Linked DNA regions of Macaca fascicularis. The protein of the gene in region 4 interacts with the protein of the main gene of each other region in a biochemical or structural test. Links are inferred from orthologs where the notes say so. Each region holds a gene or a part of one and is shown on either strand. Other genes may lie near its edges. The genes, in order: CDK2, PSMA3, GADD45A, CDKN1A, DTL, PARP1 and ESR1.

Evidence for each region.
Region 1: the proteins of CDKN1A (region 4) and CDK2 form a complex in vitro, tested with the Homo sapiens proteins (9 studies listed by BioGRID and IntAct, with this or other methods). The link is inferred for Macaca fascicularis from reciprocal best matches to the Homo sapiens genes CDKN1A and CDK2.
Region 2: the proteins of CDKN1A (region 4) and PSMA3 form a complex in vitro, tested with the Homo sapiens proteins (4 studies listed by BioGRID). The link is inferred for Macaca fascicularis from reciprocal best matches to the Homo sapiens genes CDKN1A and PSMA3.
Region 3: the proteins of CDKN1A (region 4) and GADD45A form a complex in vitro, tested with the Homo sapiens proteins (3 studies listed by BioGRID). The link is inferred for Macaca fascicularis from reciprocal best matches to the Homo sapiens genes CDKN1A and GADD45A.
Region 5: of the proteins of CDKN1A (region 4) and DTL, one has a biochemical effect on the other in vitro, tested with the Homo sapiens proteins (3 studies listed by BioGRID, with this or other methods). The link is inferred for Macaca fascicularis from reciprocal best matches to the Homo sapiens genes CDKN1A and DTL.
Region 6: the proteins of CDKN1A (region 4) and PARP1 form a complex in vitro, tested with the Homo sapiens proteins (2 studies listed by BioGRID). The link is inferred for Macaca fascicularis from reciprocal best matches to the Homo sapiens genes CDKN1A and PARP1.
Region 7: the proteins of CDKN1A (region 4) and ESR1 form a complex in vitro, tested with the Homo sapiens proteins (2 studies listed by BioGRID). The link is inferred for Macaca fascicularis from reciprocal best matches to the Homo sapiens genes CDKN1A and ESR1.

What each region holds. Positions count from the first base shown.
Region 1 is NC_088385.1:62,746,645-62,750,663, reverse strand, and holds the start of CDK2 (cyclin-dependent kinase 2), read right to left. Parts: upstream 2,801-4,019; 5' UTR 2,588-2,800; coding exon 2,472-2,587; intron 1,732-2,471; coding exon 1,654-1,731; intron 1,544-1,653; coding exon 1,423-1,543; intron 822-1,422; coding exon 651-821; intron 118-650; coding exon 16-117; intron 1-15. Other genes in the region: melanocyte protein PMEL, read left to right, coding at 3,580-3,655. UniProt on the Homo sapiens protein: Serine/threonine-protein kinase involved in the control of the cell cycle; essential for meiosis, but dispensable for mitosis. Phosphorylates CABLES1, CTNNB1, CDK2AP2, ERCC6, NBN, USP37, p53/TP53, NPM1, CDK7, RB1, BRCA2, MYC, NPAT, EZH2.
Region 2 is NC_088381.1:126,091,285-126,095,537, reverse strand, and holds the start of PSMA3 (proteasome subunit alpha type-3), read right to left. Parts: upstream 2,801-4,253; 5' UTR 2,733-2,800; coding exon 2,712-2,732; intron 1-2,711. UniProt on the Homo sapiens protein: Component of the 20S core proteasome complex involved in the proteolytic degradation of most intracellular proteins. This complex plays numerous essential roles within the cell by associating with different regulatory particles.
Region 3 is NC_088375.1:166,989,841-166,994,051, forward strand, and holds the start of GADD45A (growth arrest and DNA damage-inducible protein GADD45 alpha), read right to left. Parts: upstream 2,801-4,211; 5' UTR 2,503-2,800; coding exon 2,459-2,502; intron 1,973-2,458; coding exon 1,871-1,972; intron 1,633-1,870; coding exon 1,395-1,632; intron 318-1,394; coding exon 204-317; 3' UTR 1-203. UniProt on the Homo sapiens protein: In T-cells, functions as a regulator of p38 MAPKs by inhibiting p88 phosphorylation and activity.
Region 4 is NC_088378.1:134,983,452-134,986,757, forward strand, and holds part of CDKN1A (cyclin-dependent kinase inhibitor 1), read right to left. Parts: intron 469-3,306; 5' UTR 464-468; coding exon 19-463; intron 1-18. UniProt on the Homo sapiens protein: Plays an important role in controlling cell cycle progression and DNA damage-induced G2 arrest. Involved in p53/TP53 mediated inhibition of cellular proliferation in response to DNA damage.
Region 5 is NC_088375.1:69,875,851-69,879,350, reverse strand, and holds part of DTL (denticleless protein homolog), read right to left. Parts: intron 2,978-3,500; coding exon 2,874-2,977; intron 2,595-2,873; coding exon 2,490-2,594; intron 1-2,489. UniProt on the Homo sapiens protein: Substrate-specific adapter of a DCX (DDB1-CUL4-X-box) E3 ubiquitin-protein ligase complex required for cell cycle control, DNA damage response and translesion DNA synthesis.
Region 6 is NC_088375.1:84,293,744-84,297,243, reverse strand, and holds part of PARP1 (poly [ADP-ribose] polymerase 1), read left to right. Parts: intron 1-498; coding exon 499-741; intron 742-1,021; coding exon 1,022-1,090; intron 1,091-1,384; coding exon 1,385-1,517; intron 1,518-3,488; coding exon 3,489-3,500. UniProt on the Homo sapiens protein: Poly-ADP-ribosyltransferase that mediates poly-ADP-ribosylation of proteins and plays a key role in DNA repair.
Region 7 is NC_088378.1:60,008,960-60,012,459, reverse strand, and holds part of ESR1 (estrogen receptor), read right to left. Parts: intron 2,579-3,500; exon of another isoform or gene 2,463-2,578; intron 459-2,462; 5' UTR 383-458; coding exon 1-382.

The DNA.
Region 1 (4,019 bases), on a different chromosome or scaffold from region 4:
GGCAAGCCTCCATACCATCTCAGCAAAGATGCAGCCCAGGCTCCAGATGTCCACGGCTGTGGAGTAGTATTTGCAGCCCAGGAGGATTTCAGGAGCTCGGTACCACAGGGTCACCACCTGAGGGACAGGAATAGGGAGAGGTGGAGTGGTTTATAGGGTATGGAGATTCCCACATCTCAGTTCCCCAACACTACTCTGCTAACTCATGGCCTCTTAACAAGCAGTTTCCTTCCCTCCCTCTTTCCCCTCTCACTGATTTCCAGTCCATAGTTCTGGAGACCATATTTTCTGAACCCCCAATTTGAGATCTTCCTGGAAAAACTTGAGACAAATGGTCATAATTTGATTTCGAAATTTTTTCTTTTTGTAGATTTGTAGAGATGGGGTCTCGCTATGTTGCCCATGATGGTCTCGAACTCCTGGGCTCAAGTGATCCTCCCACTTCAGCCTCCCAAAGTACTGGTATTACAGGCGTGAGCCCAGTTAGCAACACAGTATGAATTCCATGCATGCCCTAAGACTCTTGAAGATGTCAAGAGATTATTTCTACCTAGTAAGAAACTGTTAGCCAGATATTTTTAGTAAATTTGTGAATACCCTAGTTAACACCTCTTGGGAAGCTCAGAGAAGAAAGGCATAAAGGGACTCACCTCATGGGTGTAAGTACGAACAGGGACTCCAAAAGCTCTGGCTAGTCCAAAGTCTGCTAGCTTGATAGCCCCCTCTGTGTTAATAAGCAGATTCTGAGGCTTAAGGTCTCGGTGGAGGACCCGATGAGAATGGCAGAAAGCTAGGCCCTGGAGCAGCTGGAACAGATAGCTCTGACAAAGAAGAAAGAGAGGACTGTGTTTCTCCATCACAGTGAGCAGACTGGGTTTGCTCTGTGACCCCAAAACTCTACTAAAGCCTTTATATGTTGGATTATAGTTACATATTTACAAGCTATTTCTCCCAATGGACTGTCAGCCCAGAGAGGATAAGGACCAAGTCTTACTCAATTTTGCTTCCCTTTTCTACATGCTGTGCATTGAACAAATGTTTGTTAATAAAGTAGCTCTGGGAGTGAAGAATCCAGCCCTAAAATAGACAATAGAGACTTACTAGCTGGTTCTTCCACCAAACAGAAGGGCTTTTTGGAGGAATTTACCAAGTGCTCTCAAATCCCATTTATCTGAGTTTCATCTGACCTCCCACCTGAGTTGCTAGGTTGACTCACTAGAGTTTCAACTTTGATTGTTCAGTCCAACCCTAGGGTTAATGAATATAATGAGCAGGGAAGGAGACACAAAAAGAAGGGGAGTGTGTGTGTGTAGGAGATGAGGGCTCAGAAGGAGGCCAAGATCATAAAATATCACCCTGAATTGCCTGCCACCAGAACCCCAAGACATGCCCATGATGGGAGGAGCTGATGAGAAGCATTACCTTGATGAGGGGAAGAGGAATGCCAGTGAGAGCAGAGGCATCCATGAATTTCTTGAGATCTTGGTGCAGAAATTCAAAAACCAGGTAGAGTTTATTTTCTGTGTGAATGACATCCAGCAGCCTAGAGAAGTAAAGTTTGAGGAAATGGAGGTGCGAGAGAGAGAAAAGCCCACACTGTACAGACAACTCATCCTCCTTTCCAGCTGGATTGCCTCTCAGACACATACTCACTTGACAATATTAGGATGGTTAAGCTCCTTAAGCAGAGAGATCTCTCGGATGGCAGTACTGGGCACACCCTCAGTCTCACTTGGAGAGGTTGGGAAAGCAGAGACGGGAATATGGTTACAAATATTCCTTTTTCCCCCACCTAGTCATTTCTTTCCCCCAAGGAGACACCACCCAGCACCCCCTAGGAAAGTCAGAGAAAAGAAAGGGTGCTGGAAAGAGCTAATTCTTGGGTAGTCAGGGTGTGGCTTTTGCACATATTAAGGTCATTATCTTGTCTTTTCCCAGGGGTAGGTAAGTAAAGCCGTCTGGTGAAGGTGAAGCAGGGAGGCTGTAATGGGGGGAAAAAAAAAAAAAGCAGGACTAGTCCCCAGTCTCTCCAGAGGGGCCAGTGAGGTTCAACTGCCATTCTTTGGAAAGAGGAGAGAATTCTAAGGTGAGGGTGGGGCAGTGAGGAGAGCTCTTCATTCAGAAAGGCGCTCCTCGCCCGTTCCCACATAACTCCACTCCATGGAGAGTCTTGGACCTCATCTCAGAGGCCTCCTTTCTCTCCCCGAGTCTCTGTGTTCGCACATTTGGGGGCACGATCCGGCTCAGTTTGGGAAGAAAGTTTTCCATGGATTCCACACCATCCTATACTCTCCCCAGGGAGTATAAGTATACACTCCACCTTCTACTGGCCCCCAACCCACCTCTCCACTTCTAAAGAAGTCCGTCCCTGTTGTCTTCCGGTCCCTGGACGGCTACCCGCCCGTGGGGGATTGGGGGGGGACAGTCAAGGAGGTCCCCAGTTAGGAGTCCCGGGTACAGAGGCCACTCACGTGTCCAGGCGGATTTTCTTAAGCGCCACCACTTCTCCCGTCAACTTGTTTCTGGCTTTGTACACAACTCCGTACGTGCCCTCTCCGATCTTTTCCACCTTTTGGAAGTTCTCCATGAAGCGCCAGCGAGTCGGGTCAGCCCGGCCCTGGAGTGGGGGCCTGGGAACCCTGCAGAAGGCGGACCCTGGCTCTCGGGGGCCGAGGAGGGGGAAACAGGGCCCAGTATCGTGCCCCCGGGTCGGGATGGAACGCAGTATACCTCTCGCTCTTGTCAATTTGGCCAACTTGAAACAATGTTGCCGCCTCCCCCCGAGTTCCCGACCGCCACCAGAAGCCCCGCCCCTGCTTCCCGCGTTTCCCTGGCTCCGCCCCCAGGCATTTCTATTGGTCAACGTCAGAGCCGGGGGGCGAGTGCAGCGCTCCTCCCCGCAAATGACCCCGCCCCAGGCAAGTTTGGTTCTTCGGGGGCTAGACAAATTTCTTTCTCGGTGGGGCGGCTGAACAGTCTTCCCAAGTACCTACTTTGGGTCCAAGTTTCCTACCTGTGTCTCTAGTCTGTAGGGATTTCTTGATTTCTAACTCACTATTTTCACCACTCCTGGGAAAAATATGTATCGACCTAAGGTTAAATTCCACCTGGCCCAGGAGCCTCCTTTGAAAAGCAGGAAACTAGGAATCTCGTTGTAAAGAATTCCTGGGCCTCAGAGGAGTCATTGCCTCTGCCTCATAGCCTACCCCGACGCTGTCTGTGTTTTGGGATGCAGGCTTCTGTTTCTGTTTTTTTGAGAAGTTCCTGGTTTAATTCACTCTCCCATGATGAACTGTTGTGTCTGGTATGTGTTATGCAGCTGCCTTTCAGTCAGCCCTTGCCCGGGAGTATATGAGAGTGACCCAGTGAAACCAGAAACTGCCATTGAGTAGCAGGATGGGAAAGCAATGTCTAGGGACCAGGATCCCTTTGTCAGTTTTTCCTTCTTCCTCTTCTCTGGCCCCTCCCAGGCCTTCTCTGAGGGAGAAGAGGAAGGGCTATGCAAATGAGCACCCTTTTCTTATATAGGGGCCTATCCCAGTCCCCCCAGTGCCTTTGGTTGCTGGAGGGAAGAACACAATGGATCTGGTGCTAAAAAGATGGCTTCTTCATTTGGCTATGATAGGTGCTTTGCTGGCTGTGGGGGCTACAAAAGGTATGTGTGGATATATGGACATAAGCAGGTGTGAACTTGGGGATGAATTCCCCCTGCTCTGGTTTCTCTCCTCCTAATGGGAGATAGCGGCAATATTTCAGGCGTCTCCCACTCATTTGATTTAGTGAGAATGTGGGCACCTGGGCTCCCTCCCTACATGGAGATTTGGGATTGAGCCTGAAAATAATCTCATATGCTTGGAGGGGCAGAAGAATAGAAGGTCTCTGTGGCACTGATTCTGAGGCTTCCTTGGCAGTGAGCTGGAGCAGGGGCTCCAAAGGGGTGAAATGTGCGGGAGACTCTTTTAAGAAATGTCTCTTGGGGTAGGAGATTTAAAGTGGGGAGTCAGAGAATGTAGTATTGG
Region 2 (4,253 bases), on a different chromosome or scaffold from region 4:
AGTATCTATTATGTTAGTCCACTACATGGAATACAAAGGTGATCACTCATTCATTAAGTCCTTCAATTTCAAATCAGACATGAATCTAGGTGCTAGAGATACAGCAGTAAATCAGAAAAGGCACTAAGATGAAAATAAAAGAGTAAAGCAATGGAAGGAACTACTACAGACTACATCATCAGGGAAGGCCTTCTGGGGCAGTAATATTTAGGCTGAGTCAAACCTAAATGACAAGAAGCTAGCCATTTAAGATATGAAGGAAAAGCCTTCTTGGCATTTGGCACAAAGATCTTAGGGTAGAAATAAGGCTAGCACAGTCAAGAAACAGAAGTAAGGTCACTGTGTCCCGAGCACTGTAAGCAGCAGAAAGAAGAGTAGACTGTGTTAGTGAGGTAGCTGTGGGTCAAATTATGTTGGGTCTTCCAGGCTGCAATAAGGACTTTGTATTTTATTCTAAATGCAACGAGGAATTTAAGCAGGGGGAGTGGTATGATCTACATTTTAAAAAACATCATTCTGGCTTTATGTGGAAAATGAATTCTAGAGAGAACAACAGAAGCAAAGATGAGGTGTTCCAAAGATCGTGGTACTAGCTTAGACAAGAGAAGAGGTAGAAGGGAATACTTTTTCAGAGTATAGTAAAAAAATAAAAATAATAAAAATAAACTTGCGAGGCCGGGCATGATGGCTCATTCCTGTAATCCCAGCACTTTGGCAGGTCGAGGCAGGCTGATCACGAGGTCAAAAGATCGAGCCCATCCTGGCAAACATGGTGAAACCTCGTCTCTACTAAAAATACAAAAATTAGCTGGGCGTGGTGGTGTGCACCTGTAGTCCCAGCTACTCGGAAGGCTGAGACAGGAGAATTGCTTGAACTGGGAAGCGGAGGTTGCAGTGAGCCAAGATCGTGCCACTGCACTCCAGCCTGGCGACAGAGCAAGACTCCATCTCAAAAAATAAAAAAAAAACTTGCTAAAGCGTTGGTTCTGGAAGTAAAAAAAGGAATTAAAGATGAATCACAGATGTTTTCATATGACCATTCACTGAGCTGAAGACTGTAGTAGATGCAAAATGGCAAGGTAAGGAGAAAACCCAGAGCTCTACTTTGACATGCAGTACAAAATAAACAATCAAGTGGACAGACGTGTCAAGCAGACAAACAATTATTCATATCTGGAGTTCTTGGGAGAAATGAACACAGAAGATAAGCCTTCAACAGTGGTACTTTCTGAGTCTGTTTCCTGATCTGTTTTTTTTTTTTTTTTTTTTTGATTCGGAGTCTCGCTCTGTCGCCCAGGCTGGAGTGCAGTGGCCGGATCTCAGCTCACTGCAAGCTCCGCCTCCCGGGTTCACGCCATTCTCCTGCCTCAGCCTCCCGAGTAGCTGGGACTACAGGCGCCCACCACCTCGCCCGGCTAGTTTTTTGTATTTTTTTAGTAGAGACGGGGTTTCACCGTGTTAGCCAGGATGGTCTCGATCTCCTGACCTCGTGATCCACCCGTCTCGGCCTCCCAAAGTGCTGGGATTACAGGCTTGAGCCACCGCGCCCGGCCTCCTGATCTGTTAAACCCAGATCATTAACCCTACCATTGTTACTAAAATATCCCACATGGTTATATTATCAAGTATTCTTTAAAAGGTTTGTAGAATGAAATACTATTAATTGAAGGTAATAATATAATTGCAAAGTCAGTTTGCTACAAGATTTATTATTGAGCATTTACTTATCTAAGAAAAGTATGGCAGAACTTTAGCATTCATAACCGAATGGATTAAACCATTCCAGACATAAATTGCCTATTATCAAATTTAGAACACCAGTACTTGAACTTAAGGCTGAGCATGAGAATCTTGTTAAGTAGAAATTGAGGAACTGAGAAACTCATTATTCAGTAACTCTAGTGCAAATAACCAATAAATCTTGTAGAAACTGTATTTTCTATATAGAGTACATAAAAGGAGTAAACTGCACATATACATACGTTTAACAAAGGAAAACCAAACAAGTTAACAAGTCCCACTGCAAAATCCTCAACAGTCTATCAAAAGTCTGAAGCTGTTAAGTTCCTAAGTAACCACTTAAACGTTTACGGGATAAATGCCTACAAGTGCTGTTAGGTACTTTGTATAGGAAAAACAAGGACAAAGGAAAAACTGAAGGATTCATCAGATTTAGTTATTCAGATCATTTTTATTAGTTCTGTTCCGACAGGGTTTCCAGTGACTCTTAAACTGAGCGGTCGATGATCTGCACACTTAAAGACAGAGAAGGCCCGTGAATCAGCAGCAACCTGGGAACTGCAAACGCAGTCCACAGAAAGCACGATCTCCGGACCGTGGAATCTCAAATCTCACTGCCTCGGTGGTTCTCAAGAGAACACACTATTTCAAGCCCCACGAGTTTCCACTTTCGGTTTCCCTAAGTGGCTGAAGAAAGTGACTCAGCAATCCAAAGCTGCTCCAAACCTCACCGCGGCGACGCCAAGCCGGCTACACCTGGGCTGAAAAGCTTCAGGAGTCATGGTCACCTGAGACGCAGGCCTAGCATATAGGGGATAAAGACGACCGGTCTCCAAACAGCTGCAAGTGGCCCACCCAGCCGAAGGCGGTCTTAGAGCACCCCAGGTCCGCGAAACCCTTGTGGTCTGTCCCAGTTCCCTTCAACCCCAAGCCTTAGGTTAAACTATCACACCCAGAGACAGCAAACTCACCCCGGTGCCGATGGAGCTCATCGTGCTAAACCCAACGGGACGCGTAAGGATTCCAGGCCTAGAGCGCTGCCCCTACACCACAGGATGCCGCAAACTAGTAACAGACCCGCTCATTGGCTGCATCGCCAACCAATAACCTTTTTCTCTGTGGCTCGTTCCGCGGCTCCGGCCCCCAGGACCAGGAGTATTGTGGGAAAGAAGCGGGACGCTAGAGGCTGGCGGCGCGCATGTTCAGAAGCAATAGAGGCGGGGTTGGGGAAAGCAAAGGCTCCGCCTTTAGTTCACGTACTTTGAGTTTTTGGCGTCGTTTAATCTGAGAAGCTGCTCTATTCCTTTCCTAGGAATTATTATTTATCTTTTTATATTATTATTCCCTCCTCGTCACTGTATTCTGTCTTTAAGCAAAAGGGAGAGATGCTCGTATACTCACAAAGAATAGAAAAAGCAGTAGGGGCGAAGTAACCTGTCTTCCTCCGCGTCCCCATCCTGACCTAGAATCTTGATGGCATCCACCTCACCTTCTTATGCCAGGCTCTCGGGAAGTTTCGCTTCAAGGGTATCGTCTTTGAATTCAGCTTGGAATTTTACACAAGTATTAGTACTCTTTCTATGAGTATAACGCTTTTTGGTAGAGTTAAAGATATGTCTGATTAAAGATATTTATTGAGCGCTAATGTATTCCACGTGTTGAAGAAAAAGCTGTAAACAGAACATACCACCGTTTCTAATGGAATTTACATTCAGTAGGAAGAAATAGATAACGATAAATAAGCAAAATAGTAAGAAGGAAGAGTGCTTTAATAGAGAATGGAGATACTAACTTTAGGCAGTGTGCTCAGGGAATGACTTTCTAAGTGAGTGATATTTAAAATAGGATAACAAAAGAGTGGTTGAGGGAACAGTAAAAAACTTGGCTTGCGCTAGGAACTGTCACGTCAGAGTGACCCCTCATTAAGTGGGGAAGAGTGACAGGAAGAGAACAAGTGCACATGACAGCAAATCTTGAAGTGGTTTGAATTTTAATCCGATTGTAAATAGGGCATCAGCCTTTTTTTACTCCTAAATATTAATACGTCAGTGTGTATTTCCCCCCCAACACAGGAACATTATTTTACATAGACACAGTATTATTGTGAAAATTAGAAAACTAGCAATACTGTGATCTATCAACTTTCTTTTTTTTGGGGGGTAATTTTCCCTATAAAGTCCTTCATAGCTAAAGAAAATCCAAGATCACACCTTGCATTCAGTTGTCTGCTTTAGTCTGGAAAATAGCTGCTTAGTATTTCTTCAGGTTTTTTTGTTTGTTTGTTTTTGAGACGGAGTTTCGCTCTGTCGCCCAGGCTGGAGTGCAGTGGCGCGATCTCCCGCTCACTGCAAGCTCCGCCTCCCGGGTTCACGCCATTCTCCTCCCTCGGCTTCCCGAGTAGCTGGGACTACAGGCGCCCGCCACCACGCCCAGTTAATTTTTTGTATTTTTTAGTAGAGACGGGGTTTCACCGTGTTAGCCAGGATGGTCTCGATCTGCTGACCTTGTGACCC
Region 3 (4,211 bases), on a different chromosome or scaffold from region 4:
GCTTCCTTCTTCATTTTCACCTCTTTCCATCTGCAAAGTCATCTATCTCCGGGCCCCCAGAACATGTAGTTGAACTCACTCAGCCCCTTGACATCAGTTTCTGTAATCCTTGCATCAGTGTAGGGAGTAACTGCTTGAGTAACTACAAAGGTATTTCAAAAACTTCAGTGCAATTTGGTTCAGTTATTTTCATTCAGATGCCATCACCGTTCAGGGAGATTAATCACCGGAACCCACTGATCCATGTAGCGACTTTCCCGGCAAAAACAAATAAGTTGACTTAAGGCAGGATCCTTCCATTGAGATGAATGTGGATTCTGGAAACAAATTTAGAAAAATAAACTTATTTTTAAAAAATCGATATTTGCTAGTATTACACTTTTGAGGAGAAGACACTTGAACATTCTATATTTTGGCTACGTGACATGGAGACAAATTAGAAGCACAAAAAATTAAAGTTTCTTCAAAGTAGTTGGGTTCCGTGCAAAATCGTTAAGGGTAATTACCTATTAAACTACACACTGCAAAGTCTGAACCCATGCAACCCAAGCTGAACCACATACATATGTTTGCATATCTGTTCAGTTTTGCATGAGAGTATCATTCACGGGTTTGCTCTACCAAACTTGTTACCCTGACCTGAGTGAAACAGTTTTGAGAAAGATTTCCATGCTGTGTGCACAATGAGATGAGAGCTGCACAGCAGTTAACTGGAATTGCCATCAACTCTACTCCCAAGAGACAGAGTAGTACTTTTAAGGAGTAGCAAAATAATCCGGCTGTCACTTGACTAGACCAGTCAAAAAGCAAAATTTAGAAGACAAAAGTAGCACACTTATCCCTGAAAACATAACTTCCCTACCTACCAAAGGTTTTTATCAGAAGAGTAAAAAAAAAAAAAAGGCCCATTAAAAAAATGCAAGATTGCAGAGAAAAAAATTCCACTCTATCCTCTTAATGTATTTCTAGGGAATTAACAAGGTTTGTCTCCTACACAATTTCTATTTTTAGCTCTGACTGGCAGAGAATGAAGCTGACTCCTTAATGAGGGGTGAGCCAGGAATTCATTTGGCTTTATCTAATCTGCCCTGCTAAAGGAATTAGTCACGGGAGGCAATGCAGATGTAGGTAGGGAGTAGCTGGGCTGACTGCTGACTCACAGGGATCTCTTCCGCTGCTGGCAGTCCCCAGCATGCTTAGACATGTTCTGTACCACAGATTATCCTGATGATGAAACTAGTACATCTCGGCTGAAAGTCCAGCCACACTCTCGTGGGGCAAAGGCAGCACCCTCCTGACCCAAACCTACCCCAGATCCACAATCAGGCGACCCAGCCCTGACTCCCGTCCTTCCGGGGCTCTACCCCGCAGGCTGCAGTCCCCCTGCCCCTTACCGTCACCAGCACGCAGTGCAGGTCCGGGGGCTGCTCGGCGCCCTCGGTCGCCGCGGGGCCAGCGTCGGTCTCCAAGAGCAGGAGCTCCGCCAGCCGGCCCGGGTTGCTGACGCGCAGGATGTTGATGTCGTTCTCGCAGCAGAACGCCTGGATCAGGGTGAAGTGGATCTGCAGAGCCACATCTCGGTCGTCGTCCTCGTCCGCCGCCAGCAGGCACAACACCACGTTATCGGGGTCGCTGGGGGCAGCGGGCGGGGCCAGTGAGCGCAGAACCGCGGACGCCCTCAACCCCTGCCTGGGTCTCCGGGGGTCGCCGCCCGGCCAGCTCGCCCCCTCCCCTCCGGGACAGGCAGCCGCGGGGGCAGAAGAAAAGCGACAGGAAGTGGCGCGGCCGGGCGAGGGGCGCCCAGCCAAGGCGACCTCCCGGGCTAGGGCGGGAAGGGGTGCCACGGGAGACGCGCAAGGGCCCCACTTACACGTTGAGCAGTTTGGCCGCTTCGTACACCCCGACAGTGATCGTGCGCTGACTCAGGGCTTTGCTGAGCACTTCCTCCAGGGCATCCCCCACCTTATCCATCCTACACGCGGGCAAGGGCGAGGGGTCCCGTCAGCCCCGGTGCCCTCGGGCCCATCGCCGCCCCCATTGCCCGGCACCACGCCCCTCCCTCTCGAATGCAAGCACCACCGCGCACCTGGGCTCTCCGAAAACCCGGCGCTCCCGCGGCCCCGTCACCCCCCATGACCCCTGCACGCCCAAGGACCGGGCGTCCCATGAGAAGTCCCGAGAGTGCCCCTGCCACAGGCTGCTAGCCCCAGGAGCCGCAAGGGCAGCGACGGCCACTGCTGCCCTTTGCAAAGGCCCCGGCGGGGCTCGTTCGGGTTGCGGGGCATGCTCTTTCAGTCCGCGGACGCTACACGGAGAGTCCCGAGGGAGCAAGGGCGGGAGTTGCCCTGTGCAAACTTTTCTGCTTCCTCCCCTGCAAACCTTCCACAGCCCGCCTGCACCCGGGAGCGCGGGGTAGGTGAGAGAAGTTCGGGCCGGAAGAGTCCGCAGGCCGATTTACCTTTCGGTCTTCTGCTCTCCAGCCGAGAATTCCTCCAAAGTCATATTGCAAACTGCAGGTCGCCCACGGAGAGAGCGCGGCGTGCGGGCTGCTCCTGCCACGGCGAGCGCGCCAGCGCCTGCTTTCTGCACTCACTCACAGGCGCCGCGCCGGGAGCTCAGGCCCCGGCGCTGTCCGGCTGCCCCACGCCCGCCCGGGCTCCTCCTCCTGTGCCAGCCGCCGCAGCTTCGGCCACCCCTCCCGCCCCGCTTGCTCGTTCGCTCGCTCTCCGGCCCTCGCCTCGCCACCGGCCTCACGACACTAATTGGGCAGCTGCCTCGCAGCCACTGCTTACCAGCCACTGGAGGACAAAGGGCCCCGCTCGTCGGCGTTATCCTGCCAACCCTCAGCCAACCACCTTCCGCCTCATTTGCATGCATCTTGGCCATTGGGCTATGCAAATCAGCCTGCTCCGGCAATTTGACCCTAGCTCCTGGAGTCAGGTTGAGAGGAGCGGAAAAGGGAGGAGCCACGCGGGAGGCGAGCCGAGGGGGCGGGGGCGGGGGCGGGGACGGGGGCGGTGCAGAGAGAGGAAGGCGGGTCCCGCGCGCTCTCTTATCCGGTTGGCGGGGACCACTGGGAGTGGAGGGCTTCAGCAGAGGCGGGAGGTAGCCTTAGCTTGGGCTGAAGCAGGCTGCCAAGTGTTTTTTTATAATAGTCGCGGCACTTTTTTCTTATTATCGTTTCATGCCTTTTGTTTTAAGGGGTGGCTATTAAAATCTATTTCCAGGGTTAATGCACCTAAGTCTAGTAATTATTAGTAAGCAGTTTACATTAAAAAAGTGTCTCCAGACCTCTGGGGCAAAGTTTACCTCAGAAGTGTTGTTTATCTAAGTCTAGGCGAAGCTGCTTATTAGCAGTAGTATTATTTCGGTGCCCTGATGGCTGGTTTGATTTATTTTTGGAAAGCTGCAAGGGTTGGAAGCTCAAAAAAGAAAAACCAACCCGTTTGTATTCAGGGATGGCAGGGAACCAAGTTGGAGTCTTTTCCACAGAATGCAGAACGGTTTCCCACCTGCCCGCTGTAACTGGGAAATCGTGAGCTGGTCTGCGTGGGGAGCTGGTGACCACATGTGGGAATCCCTGGCAACCCAGATTCTCCTTTCTCAAAGAGCCTTGCCCAAACAAGGATCCTTCTGGACGCCCACCAGTCGAGAGACAACCATCTGACACCCACACAGCCCACAAGTCTAAATTCAAAATGCTCTTGATATGCCCTAAGCTTCCTTTCCTAACGTATGTATGTCACTACCTTCCACAGAGAGCCTCCTGTGTGATCTCACTGTGAATTATTGATGTTAGATGCTGAATCATGAAGCCGTAACTATAGGAAGTTTTTAGTCATATGCTAAAATTTCACCTTTGAGATAATGGCAACTTGCAGGTGGAAAGCAGACCTTTAAAACTGCAAATGGTAGTTACACATTTTGAAAAACAAACTTTAATATATAGACTCTCACTGAGTAGTTCAAAAGTCCCTTCCTTTGTTTTATGGTTTATGCAATAAATGCAAAAACATTTCTTAAACCTACTGAAGTCACCAAAAGTGGTGAAAACGGCTCCCACATGCTTGCATTCAAAACAGTGCTTGCATTATTAAGGTTGCTGTACAGCCAAAGGTCACAGAAGTAATTTTTTGCAAAGGTCACCTGGGAGTTTTGCACCCTTATGTTTTTATCACTCTAGACAAAATATTCTCCAGCTCTCTTGATCT
Region 4 (3,306 bases):
CCCTGCACATGTCCTCACCTGTCATGCTGGTCTGCCGCCGTTTTCGACCCTGAGAGTCTCCAGGTCCACCTGGGGACTCTTCAGGCTGCTCCCCTGAGCGAGGCACAAGGGTACAAGATAGCGACAGGTCCACATGGTCTTCCTCTGCTGTGCCCTGCAGCAGAGCAGGTGAGGTGCCAGGCCGCCTGCCTCCTCCCAACTCATCCCGGCCCCGCCGGGGCCCTGTGGGAAGGTAGAGCTTGGGCAGGCCAAGGCCCCGCACACGCTCCCAGGCGAAGTCACCCTCCAGTGGTGTCTCGGTGACAAAGTCGAAGTTCCATCGCTCACGGGCCTCCTGGATACAGCCCGCCATTAGCGCATCACAGTCGCGGCTCAGCTGCTCGCTGTCCACTGGGCCGAAGAGGCGGCGGCAGGCCTTGCTGCCGCATGGGTTCGGACGGACACTGCCAGCCTGTTCTGACATGGCGCCTGCAGCAGAGACACAAGGAAGGCCCTGGTCACCATGGAGACTGGACACTATGTTACCTGGCCGGGCTTTGCTGTGTCACCTCAGGTGACGTCTTCCTACCAGAGGGTCTCTCTTGCTCCTTCCAGCTGGTCTTCCTGCGTCCTTCCCACAGGAGGCCTGACCCCCACCAGCAGAGCGCAGCCAGCCTGGCACCCCAAGGTCACTGGCAGAGCAGGCAACTGAAGGGCAAGCTAATGTCAACAAAGGCAAATTTACTGCAAGAGCAAGGACCAGGGTCCTGTTTGCCACCAGGTATTTTCAGCTAAAATCAATTTGTTTTCCCCCCAGAGGTGTCCCTCATGGGTGTGAATGCCCCTCAAATACATGTGAATTGCCAGAGTCCAGCAGTTTCCTAATCCTAGCCATGGCCAGGCGGTCAATTCTCAGAAGAAGGAACAGTCGGACAGTTCCTCCAGCCTCCTGAATCCCCCTACCCAGATCCCCAAGTAGGGTAACCCTGCTCGACCAAGTAAAATTACCCTGGACTTTGGGGCAAAAAACACCCGGGTTGTGGTCCTAGCTCTGCCAGTTACTACGTAAGCTTTAAAAAACCACTTAATATCTCTAGGTCTCAGTTTCCTCACCCTTAAATGGGCCATGTGCAAGTTTAAAGAGCATGGCTACGGACACCTACTCAAGCAATTGATCAGGGAGTCCATGCGCAAGGCAGACAGAACAGAGCTGAGTGAAAGGCTGTGTCTTGGTGGTTAAGCAGGAGAGCTCTGGACTCAGATCATCTGGGTTGGAGTCCAGGTTTTACTAGGTGACCCTGGGCAAGCAACTTAACTTGTCTGAGCTCTATTTTCCTTGTCTATAAAATGGGGATATTACTGTCTCAGAGGATAGACATGAGAATTAACTGAGTTAACGTAGGTAACGTGCCAGCAGCACTTCGTATACAGAAGTGCATGGAAAACAGAAGTATGATTATTCCTCTCTGCCTTCAGTTTTATTGAGCCTCCTCCCTATCACTTCCCCCTGCCAACTACCTCCTTCAGACAGCAGCTGACAGGTGCTGTAGGCTGAGGGCCTTTCCCAAGGATGTCGTCAGGCGGGTGGCCTAGGGGTAAGGAGGGGCCGGGCGGGGCAGCGCAAGGGATGATTTCTCCCAGGCTGAGCCACATCCTGCCAGGCACATCAGGTGATCTGAAGTCTAGACACCTGGCAGCCTCTGCCCCGTGTTGCCTGTGTCCAAGGAACCCGTTTTGCAGGCAAAGAAAATTAAAGGTGGCTGGTCTACCTGGCTCCTCTCCTCCCACTTCAGGAGAGGGAAAACGGAGGGTGAGTTTGCCCATGAGGGAGCCCTGGCACCTACCTGCCTGCTCTGGCTTGACTCCAGGGCTGAGTGACTGCACGACCTTGGCAGCAACTGGGTTTTCCTAGGGACAAGTCCCAACTTGCAGGCTCTGGGGGGGAAAGCTCTGCTGAGTCCTCCTGAGGCAGGAAGCCCGGGACACATGCCACATCTGCTCCACCCCACCTCACCCCACTGCTTGTGATCAGTGCAGCCCACAGTTTCACGTCCCAGCTGGTTGGAAGAGGAGGCTCTTGGTAACTTCACACCAAGTTTAAACGGCAGGAGATGGAAGAGATATGAGACTTGTCCCTAAGTCATACAGCTAAAAAGGCCAAAGGCCACTGTCCCATAAAGGGGTCACCCAGTACAGTGGACAGAGCCCTCAAATAACCTCTGTCCACCCTCCGCTAGGCATGAGTTGGGATTTATTTATATATTTTTATGTTTGGGGGCTGTTCTAAGCAGTTTAAAAATATCAGTCCTCCTAAAAAGTGGATATCTATTAGCTCCCTTTATACAGAAGAGGCAACCAAGTCTCAGAGAAGTTAAGTGACTTGCCCAACATCACACAGTTCACAAGTGGCACAGCCAGGATCTGAACCCAGGCCTGTTTGCCCTGAGTCCTGTGCTCTAGTGTTGAACCCCACTCCCTCTCTAATTTTGAGGTTTCTTAACCAGAGAGGCCCATCAGAATGACTTGGGGAGGCCAGGGGCAGTGGCTCATGCCTGTAATCCTAACACTCTGGGAGGCAGAGATGGGAGAATCATTTGAGCCCAGGGGTCCAAGATTAGCCTGGGCAACACAGTGAGACCCCGTCTCTACTAAAAATAAAAGTAAATAAAAATTAGCTCGGTGGCTGGGTGCAGTGGCTCACATCTGTAATCCCAGCACTCTAGGAGGCCAAGGCGAGCAGATCATCTGAGGTCAGGGGTTCAAGACCAGCCTAGCCAAGATGGCAAAACCCCATCTCTACTAAAATTACAAAAATTAGCCAGGCGTGGTGGTGCACACTTGTAGCCCCAGCTACTTGGGAGGCTGAGGCAGGAGAATTGCTTGAACCCAGCAGGTGGAGGTTGCAGTGAGCTAAGATCATGCCACTATACTCCAGCCTGGGCAAAAGAGTGAGACTCCGTCTCAAAAAAAAAAAAAAAAAAAATGCTGGGCATGGAGGGTCACACCTGTGGTCCCAGTTACTTGGGAGGATGAAACAGGAGGACTGCTTGAGTCCAGGATGGTGCCATTGCACTCCAGCCTGGGTGAGAGTGAGACTCTGTAAGAAAGAAAGAAAGAAAGGAAGGAAGAAAGAAAAGAAAGAAAGAAAGAAAGAAAGAAAGAAAGAAAGAAAGAAAGAAAGAAAGAAAGAAAGAAAGAAAGAAAGGAAGGAAGGAAGGAAGGAAGGAAGGAAGGAAGGAAGGAAGGAAGGAAGAAAGAAAGGAAGAAAGGAAGAAAGGAAGGAAGAAAGAAAGAAAGAAAGAAAGAAAGAAAGAAAGAAAGAAAGAG
Region 5 (3,500 bases), on a different chromosome or scaffold from region 4:
AGGGGACTTAACAGCTTTCCATAAGTGCTTACAGGAATCTCTTCCATTTTCTAGAATAAAGCTGGAAAAGAACTTTGTATTTATAGCTTTTAAGGAAAAAGCTATGCAGGCATAGCAAATACTCCTCACATCAGATATTTTTACTGTGAAAGTGAGGCAGGATATGAATCAATTTGTATACACCTATTATCACTGCAAAATAAACAAGCTCCTTTATTCTGAACATTGTTTTAAAACTGTAATTTTTAATCTTCCTCAACTCTGAACTATGAATGGAAAACTCTAGCCTGAATTTCCCACTATACCTGTAAGGATTTATTGCCCTCTGCTGGTCTAAGAAAGGCTGGTATGATATGCACTGTAAATGTTTAAACCTTGCTAAAAATCCTCCTAAAATGCATATTGGCTTTAATGAGCTCAATTTAATCTTGCAAAGTCATCCTCATGAACATCACTTAATATAACACCATAAATACAAAGCATGGTAGATCAAGTATCAAATCCAAGATCCTTTCAGAAGTTTTGAAAAGGACAAGTAATTACAAGATGTTATACACACACACACACACAGAGTTGTCATTCAATTTTTTTTTTTTTTTTTTAAGACAGGGTCTTACTCTGTCACCCAGGCTGGAGTGCAGTGGCAAGATCATGGCTCACTGAAGACTCAAACCTCCCAGGATCAAACCTCCTCCTACCTCAGCCTTCCGAGTAGCAGGACTATAGGTACATGCCACCACATTCAGCTAATTTTTTGCATCTTTGTCAAGATGGGGTTTTGCCATATTGCCATATTGCCCAGGCTGGTCTTGAACTCCTGGGGTCAAGCGATCCGCCAGCCTCAGCTTGGGTTTATAGGTATGAGCCACCATGGCCAGCTGTCATTCAATTTTTAAGGAACAAATTGATCTATTAATCTATTTACCTATCTATCCATCTGAGCAAATGAAATTAAATAGAAGCACACAAAAGGTTTACTAAATCATTAGCGAAGTGTTTGACGGCAGGACACTAAACTCAAGGCCCTTTTCAGTGCCACACTGCAGCAAAAATTATATAGAAAGAGCTCTTGTACATCTGATAATATAATCAGGATTAGGTTTTATCTTTCAAGGAAAGATTTTTGATTAACTAAATTAGCAGTTCTCCAAGCTCAGATTCCATTAAGGAAAGCAGCAAAAGAAACACCTCTTCCCTTTTCTAAACATTATTGCTCTTGCTTAGAGAAAATCAGACCCAGTGCAAAGCATCAGAAATGCCGACTATGATACTGCCACCAATACTAAAGTCCTAATAAGATTGCTTGGAGTGACCTTTGGAAACTTCTTTAAGATCTCAGCTAAAATGACAAGTTCTGGACCGGCACGGTGGCTCACACCTGTAATCTCAGCACTTTGGGAGGCTGAGGTGGGCGGATCACGAAGTCAGGAGTTCGAGACCCGCCTGACCAACAAGGTGAAACTCCGCCTTTACTAGAAATACAAAAATTAGCCAGGCGTGGTGGCGGGCACCTGTAATCCCAGTTACTTGGGAGGCTGAGGCAGGAGAATTGCTTGAACCTAGGAGGCAGAGGTTGCAGTGAGCTGAGATCGAACCACTGCACTCCAGCCAGGGCAACAGAGAGCAAAACTCCATCTCAAAAAAATAAAAAATAAAAGATTAAAAAAAAGTAAATAAAATGACAAGTTCTGTACTTGAGGTTTCTTGTTTATCAAACCATTTCACTTTAGTGGAAGCTGGGTAACTCTGAGGATTGGTTATGGAATTCAAAGTGTTTCTGAAAGATCTATAGATGAGGAATAACCAGGCTACTAAGATGTAGCTTAAGAAATTGATGTTCTTAAAAATAACGTAACCCAAATAACTCTCTTAAAGCATGCCTGAGGCTGGTGATTTGGAAGAGGGAGGGGAGAAGATTAAAAAAAGAGGAAAGCATGCTTGAGAAACTTGGGTTTTCTTTTTAAAACTATCATTTATTAGTTGTAAGTATCAGATTCTATTTTTATAGTTTTGAGGGAAAAAAAAAGGCGAGGCTGGGGAAAACATCTAGAAATAAAAGGGCCTCTCTTTAACATTAAGGAGAAGGCTGAGATAGGCTAAAACTATTTTGGGGGTCTGAGAAATTCAGTCCCCTAATTTTAACCAGCAGCCCCTAAAGAGGACAAAAGCTGAGCAGAAGCGCTTTGTCTACTCCACAGCTTATTAAATCAAAAATTGAGAGAATTCTAAATATAGGCCAAACGGTATAATTTCAGGAGATATTTTCTATTAAAATAAAATTAAGTCACCATGTAAAGCACAATTCCGCTTACTTATGAAATCACAAGGAATGTACACTTATGAAATTATCACCGGATGTAATCAAAGATGTCAAAGTCCTCATATGGCTTAACAAGTTCAGTTTAGAAGAAAACCCATTGAATTATCATTACCAAAAAAAAGCCCATAATGGTTTCCTGGTAAGAGAATTTGAATGACTAATGTCTTACCTGGAGAAGTCTTCAACCCAGTCATATTGAACATGTAGATGTTATCGTCTGTGCAATTAGCAAATAAAGTAGAGCCAGTGGAATCCAAAATCAGACTTGAATATCCTGGAAAAAGTAAACTTAAGTTAGCATGTCCTGATGATGGTGAGTAGATGTGAGGTAGAGACAAAACGTACAGACAAAAATAGATCGTTCCTTAAGAAGAATCATCAGAATTCTTTGTCCCCAAAATATACACAAACCAAAAACATTCTTCTGAGTTTTTATCTTTTGAACTTCACATATTAGAATTTTTCATATCAATGTTACTGGAAACTAGCCTAATGTTTGTTTGTTTTTAACAAAAACTCATATCTCCCCCAAAAGACCTATACAAAGGCTTACCAAGTTTTCGAGTGCTGCTACCTGGGTACAGGAAAGACTTGGATGCTATAGGTTCTTGTCGATAAGCAGTATAATTCTTACGTAAATCCCATACTTTGATTATCCTAAAAACCAAGGCAAATAAATATTTTGTAGACCTTCTTCCAACCCCAAACAACTTCAATTACACTAAATGTGAAATGACTTTTAATCTAACTCTTCTGTCACATTAGCTAGGTACAGTGAGGATACTTAATTGGGAAACAAATCAAACTATCTTACACTGTTGTCTCCAATACCAGGCTTATAATTCTGACAGAACGGAAACAGATGTGATTTGACCCAGTGATGGGTTACTGGAGTTTACTCTAAGGGAACGGAAAAGGAAGATGAAGGTTGAGTGCCGATAGTAATTGTTCCATTGTTTTTAGAAAAAACACTTCCTAAGCCTTAATATTCTGCATATATCCTTTGATATCATAAGTAGTAAGTTCTGTCCCTGTGGTTACATCTCCGTACATAACTCCTTAAATAATCTAAACAAATTGTTCCATGAAATAAAGTATTTTTTCATTTCATCTACTGAGATAATTGTCTTAACCCTCTACTTCTAGCATGAAGGCAACTTGAAAACACAGACCTGATATG
Region 6 (3,500 bases), on a different chromosome or scaffold from region 4:
GGGAAACTGCTCAACCTGTATTCTCATCACTTCGCACTGCTCTGTAAGATGTGCGTAGATCTCTGCCAAAACAGAAGTTCATGGTTCAAGTATGTTTGGAAAAGGTAGGGTGAAACAAAAGGTAAACAGGTTTCTGTGTGGGTCTGTTATGCCGACTACCACTGTAGGTCTTCAGGAACCAGAGAAATACAACACAGGATTTCCCATACATATTTGACATCAGGGTGTTTTTTCCTTGGAGTGTCTGTTAACATCGTGCTGTAGAATGGCTTGGAGAAGGCTGCCCTGGCTCATCATACCTTAGAAAAGGGGGAATATTGCTGATCAAGAAGATCGTTTGAATGAAAAACACTCTTGGGAGCATTAGACTTGGAAGCAAAGGAGAGCTGTGGATGTTGAGGGTTTGGAATTACACAGTAAATATAACTATAGTAATTTGAGGTTTCAGTTTTGTTTTAAACTTATATTTCATTTTTTTTTTCCTTTCAATTTGAACAGAGGAGGTGGAAAAGATGAATAAGAAGATGGAGGAAGTAAAGGAAGCCAACATCCGAGTTGTGTCTGAGGACTTCCTCCAGGACGTCTCCGCCTCCACCAAGAGCCTTCAGGAGTTGTTCTTAGCACACATCTTGTCCCCTTGGGGGGCAGAGGTGAAGGCAGAGCCCGTCGAAGTTGTGGCCCCAAAAGGGAAGTCAGGGGCTGCACTCTCCAAAAAAAGCAAGGGCCAGGTCAAGGAGGAAGGTGAGGGCCCCAAGCTGCCCCCTCCAGGGCCAAAAGCCGGGGACATTGGTGGCCAGGTTGGCCTGCACAGAACCTGTCCCTTTGTGTCCCAGACATGGCCTGTTGAGTGCTGCAGAGCAGGAAACAGAATGGCAGGCGCTTTGGGGTGGTGGGAGGAGTGTGTATATAGATGCCAAGTTGACAGATCATGCGAATGAGAATGACTCATTTGCCTTCTACCTTCCCCTTACTTTTTAGTTACGTTTAACTTCGTGTTGACATTTTTCTGTTCCCTTCCAAGGTATCAACAAATCTGAAAAGAGAATGAAATTAACTCTTAAAGGAGGAGCAGCTGTGGATCCTGATTCTGGTAAGCAAACAGGACTGCCAGCCGAGTGGGCCACGTGCCCCACCCCCCACCAGCAGACTAGGAGCACACATCCGAATGCCCGCAGCACACCTGGGGCAATGTGGTCGTGGCTTTCCCCTCAGGCCTCTTTCACCAGCTCCCCCAGTCCTGAGAACACACATTTCAGGGGAACCTCCTGAAGGTGGTATTAGTGTATCCAAAAGGCATGAACCTCAGGCCTGCAAACCCCTTCTCCCTGAGAGCGCTAGCCCCTCAAGGGGAGAGAAAACTGTAGGTGCTTTGCCTCCGGGACAGGACTGGAACACTCTGCGCATGTCCTGGAGAAAGGTGGGAAGGTCTTCAGTGCCACCCTCGGCCTGGTGGACATCGTTAAAGGAACCAACTCCTATTACAAGCTGCAGCTTCTGGAGGACGACAAGGAAAGCAGGTGAGTTCTGTAGATGTAGCCTGGTTGTGCAGAGACATGGGCCCGTCCTGCATCAGTCAATGCTGTGCCATCAGCCTTGTGAAACCCATTAGGCCCAGTGCCTAGGGAATGAAATCTAATCACAGAGATCAAAAACGAACCATGAGGCCTTTGTTTAAAGGGGAGAAAGAAGCCACTTACTAACCAGTAGCATTGCTGTCCTTGTACAGTTGTCTTAAGGTATGGTTTCACGTATTCTCCCACTGGCTTTTCTTTTTGTTTGGTGGGTTTTTTTTGTTTGTTTGTTTGTTTTTCCAACTATTTGTTGTGTTTTTTGAAACAGTCTCACTCTGTTACCCAGGCTGGAGTGCAGTGGTGTAATCACAGCTCAGTGGAGCCTGGACCTCCCAGGCTTAAGCAATCCTCTCACCTCAGCCTCCCAAGTAACTGGGACCATAGATGCACACCACCATGCCTTATTTTTTATGGAGACAAGGGCCTCACTATGTTGCCCAGGCTGGTCTCAAACTCCTGGACTCAAGTGATCCTCCCGCCTCAGCCTCCCAAACTGCTGGGATTACAGGCATGAGCCACTGCACCCAGCCCCAGCTGGCTTTTCTTTCAGCTGCTTGAATCAAGATTTTCTAATTTTACATATGTTTTAAAACTTTGAAGCAAATAAAGGTTGGCAAGCGTTGAACTTACTTTTTAATGTTCAAACTCCCTAGTAACTAAAGAGGTTTGGATTTGCCTTTTTTTTAATTAACATGATGAGACAGGCAAGGGTGTATTCTGGATTGTGGGGTACAGCAGCTGGGAGGTGATGAGAGGGTGGGCTGGCTTTTGTCCTTACGTATCTAGGCAGAGTGGTCCTTAGCTAGTGAGTTCATTGCCCTGTGGTACAGCCAACACAAAACAGGATTTATGTGTCAGTGGAAAGGCGTATGGAAGGAACTCTTATTAAATTCTAACGTTGATTGTGGATGTGTACATTTTTCTGGTGGCTTAGATTTGCTGGTGTTAAGTGAAAGGGTGGTGTGGGCTGTTAGGGTCAGAAAAAATTTTCAACATAGATCAAAGTAGTGCTTCCCAAAAATTTTCACAGGAAAAACCAAGCAGAGAATGAATTGTTAAACCCCTGTGCAGTAGCCCAGAGAATGGCCAGGGAGTCCCAAATTTTCTTTGAAGTCCATAGTTCTGTCTTTAAAATGTACACAAATCTTGTATGTGGGTTTATGATATATCTGTATTTCTTATGAAATGAAAATTAAGTTTTGAGTTTAAAACTTTTAAATTAAGCAGAGTTGTCCTGGAGAAAGGTGGGAAGGTCTTCAGTGCCACCCTCGGCCTGGTGGACATCGTTAATTTAATTTAAAGTTAATTTAAAGTTAATTTAAAAAATTAACTCTGCTTTGAGTTAATGAAAAATTAGCTCATCCAAAGCTAAGCAGCACAGCAGCTGGATATGTGTGATGTGCACCCTCAATTGAGATGGAATTTGAACATGACAGCCTGCATCTCTAGGTCACCGGACCTGAGGAGCCATTGCCACTGCGCCCCTCATTTCATTGTATCTTAGCCTCGGATCTGAGTTGAAAGTTAATTATTTTTAGGGTACAGCTTTAAGGGTTGTCTCCTTGAACACATGACTTCCAGACAGTACTTTGTATTTCTTTGGGGAGAGGAGTAGAATCGTTTTTATGCAAAGGTCTACAGACTCCAGGATTCACTCCTCAGGCTTGGCTGCCAGAACCAAGTTTAAACTATTATGTGGCATTTTTTTATAGTCAATATGATTTGAAAGTTTAATGAGAGGTAAGATAAAGACCCTTTATTGTTATAGCAGTTCCTTTTGTTCTGTGTTAATCACTATCCTTTTGGGGTGTGTAAAATTCTTCCACACCTGAATGTAATGGTAAGAAAGGGGAACTTCTCCTGAAATGGGACAGCTGACCCACACTTGTGCATCTGACACCCTCCTTCCCACCACAGGTATTGGATATT
Region 7 (3,500 bases), about 75 Mb from region 4:
CCTGCTGGCCGTGGGGCTGCAGGAAAGGCGACAGCTGCGGCGGCGGGTGCAGCAGCATCAGCGGGCTCGGAGACACGCTGTTGAGTGGGGGGAAACCCCCCAGGCCGTTGGAGCCGAACGCCGCAGCCTCAGACCCGGGGCCGTACGGGAGGCCAGTCTGGCCGTAGACCTGCGCGTTGGCGGCGGCCGCGGCGTTGAACTCGTAGGCGGCGCCCTCGGGGTAGTTGTACACGGCGGGCTTGCTGCTGTCCACGTACACCTCGCCCAGGGGCCGCTCCAGGGGGATCTTGAGCTGCGGACGGTTCAGGGGCTCCAGCTCGTTCCCTTGGATCTGATGCAGTAGGGCCATCCCGGATGCTTTGGTGTGGAGGGTCATGGTCATGGTCCGTGGCCGTGGCCGTGGGCAGGGCGCAGACCGTGTCCCCGCAGGGCAGAAGGCTCAGAAGCCGGCGGGCCACCTGGAAAAAGAGCACAGCCCGAGGTTAGAGGCGACGCAGCGCATGTCCCGCCGAGACGCGAGCTCTGGCCCCGGCCCTGACCCGGGAGCCTGCGGGTCCGGTGAAGCCTGGCGACCCGACGGGAGCAAGTGCAGTCCCGGGACGAACGCCCTCCGCCAGCTCCCGGGCTCCCGGGCCTCCAACTTTAAGTACTGGTCTCCCGAGCTCATATGCATTACAAAGGTGCTGGAGGAAGGCCAGGGACTGTTGCCTTGCCCTGACATTGGCTTAAACATCACTCCAGGCACAACTCGATTTGGAGCGATCCCAAAGAGCAGCTTCCCTGAACTTTACTTTACTTGTCGTCGCTGCTGGATAGAGGCTGAGTTTCACGGCCAGGGGGCGGGGGCGCACGAGGATCTGCTAAAGGTGGCCCAGGGAAGACCAGGCTTAAAATAAACGCGAAAGACGAATCCAGGGGCCGGCTTTCTCTAATGTGCTGCCTTATGTGCCCCGTGCCAGACTCCAATATATCTCTGTTTATCTCTCTTTCTGTTTGATTCCCCCTCCTCGTTGGCTAGAAATACGTAGTGTGTACATAGGATGACCCTGGGGAGGACTACACTGTAACCGAGATAGGGCAGATAGAATGGGGTGTGTGGTTGCATACGCAGCCAGCCACAGACAGCTATATTTAGCAGCTGGGGGAACTGACAGGGGGCATCTGAGGGGAAGGGGGGCGGAGATTCAGGGTATACATATAGGAAGAGCTGCATTTTGCCATCAGGAGAATGCAACCTGCCAGGACCTCAGTTTCTTCCTCTGCAAAATGCTCCCAAAGTGGACCCCTTCCACAACCTTCTGAGATTCTCTCAGCTGGACTTGTGTGTTTATGTTGGACCACAGTACTGTACTTGGTCCCATTAGGAATTCTCATGTGAAGGATGATTCAGAAAAACCTTTGGTTAGGGCGCACATGGGTGTTCATGCCTTCCACAGGTTAGTTATGCAACCAAAACTTCAGAAAACTGAATATAAAATGTGACCTTTTCATACCCAACATAACCTCAGGTCATGAACCAAAGCTTTGGCAATTATGTGACATTGTCGGTCTGGTTCAGCTAACAGATTTTTAAAATGCATTTCTGCATGTCTATTCTTTAGTCCTACAACTCGATCTTGTCGGTTCACTTGGGCTAGGATATGCAGAATCAAATATCCAGATGAAAAACAAATAGAAAAAAGTTTTTAACTGAATTAAAAGTTAAGCATGCACACACACATACGCACACACACACATACATATACATATTAAGGACACAAAAAATACGGAAAGTATGTCATGCATCTATAATCTTGGAGAGTTTATACTTTTAATAAACTTCCTTTGCTGCAGCCTAATAGACTCTGGTACAACTATCAATACTTTATTTTAATTGCTATCCCAAACACCCAACAGAGTACCTGACAAAGTGTTCATGGTATATCTAAATGCCAAGCTTACTGTTACTAATAGTTACATTTTTGAATATTTTATATCAAGTATACATTTTATCTAATTCCTACAAAAACAGACCATTGTCGGACAATATACAGATTAGCTGATTTAATATGAAGCCAAAATCGAGTTTAGCATTAATGACTATAGATTGTCAGCAACTAAAGGGTTAAAAACACATTAGGTACATCACAGATATTTCCCTTTATGGCCAGCAATCATTACTTTCCAAAGCAATTTTTCACAGATGATTTAGTTTCCATAAATCACACTTTCAATTTTCAAATGCCTTTTTAAAACACACGCAAAAAGCACTTCATAGGGCTCTTAAAAAATCTGAACCTGCCAAATTATATGCAAATGGCACAAAGAATCCTACAAGTCATGAAAGAAAAAGGAGACACACACGTACCCCCATGGAGAACAGCAATCCTCATCTCCCTGCTAGGATACAGACACTAGCCAGAAAGGTAAGTTGCTTTCTCAAAATGCTAAAGCTACAGAGAGAGAAATCAAAACAAGCCTACCCTGCTGGATCAAGAACGTCTTTCCAGAAATGTTCCATGGGCTTGTAGAAGTCAAGGGCCGAGACAGTGAGAAGGAAGGAAGGAATGTGCTCGCATGTGCGAGTGGCTCAGTGTGTGAACTAGGCAGAGAGCGTGTGTGGATGTGTTTGTGCGTGGAATGGCAGGGATTCGGGAAGCAGCCAGTAGGCAGGGCACTTGGCAGCCCCTCCCGGCAGACACGCAGCTGGGCTACTGCACGGCGCTGGATGAATGGCAGTGGGGAGTGAGGGGAGACTTGCTGTCTGCTCACAGGGAGCAGCGTGGCACAGCCAGAGAAAGCTGTACTGGGGAGGAGAAACTCCAGCCCCTTTGCCCCTTACCCTTGGAGGCTGGAAAGTACCCTATGCTTTCCGCTGCCACCCCAAGCAAGAGGAAAAACAGGCTTGCTGTGAATCATACTCTTACGGCTAAAATAGAATGCCAGTCAAAAGTGTATGGATATCAAGTTTACAAAATAGGACATGGGTGGTTTTTCCGAAAGAATATAATTTAACAATAAAAGCCTTCTGGGATACATGTGGATCAAATGCCTTACTGGCCCTAGACCCCAGTCTCTGAACAGAGGCATTGCCATGCCTCCGATTGCACCAGGAAACCAGACTTTGGAATAAATGTTTTGGCATTCTAGGGATGTGTTTCCAGCTGAAATGTAATACTCCTCCACTTCGTTAACCAAACCCACAAACCTTTCCACGAATAGCTCAGTTGACTGCTTTCTGTAAACATGTGAAAAATACATATTATCAAAAGCCTAGGATATGAACATAAGATAAAGGTAGATACCTTTGTTTTCAATTGATTTTAGGCTTTCGAGTTGCACTGACAGTGATCGGGAAAGAGGTCTCTCGTTTTCCAGTGGCGTTCACATGGATCCACCTCTTGACCACTTTCTCAACGTTTCTCTTGGCCATAGTACTAACATGCAATAATGAGGTGCTCCTAGAGTGCCCACGCTCAGGGCCCCAGGACACATGACACCCAATGGAGCCTCTGTTGCCA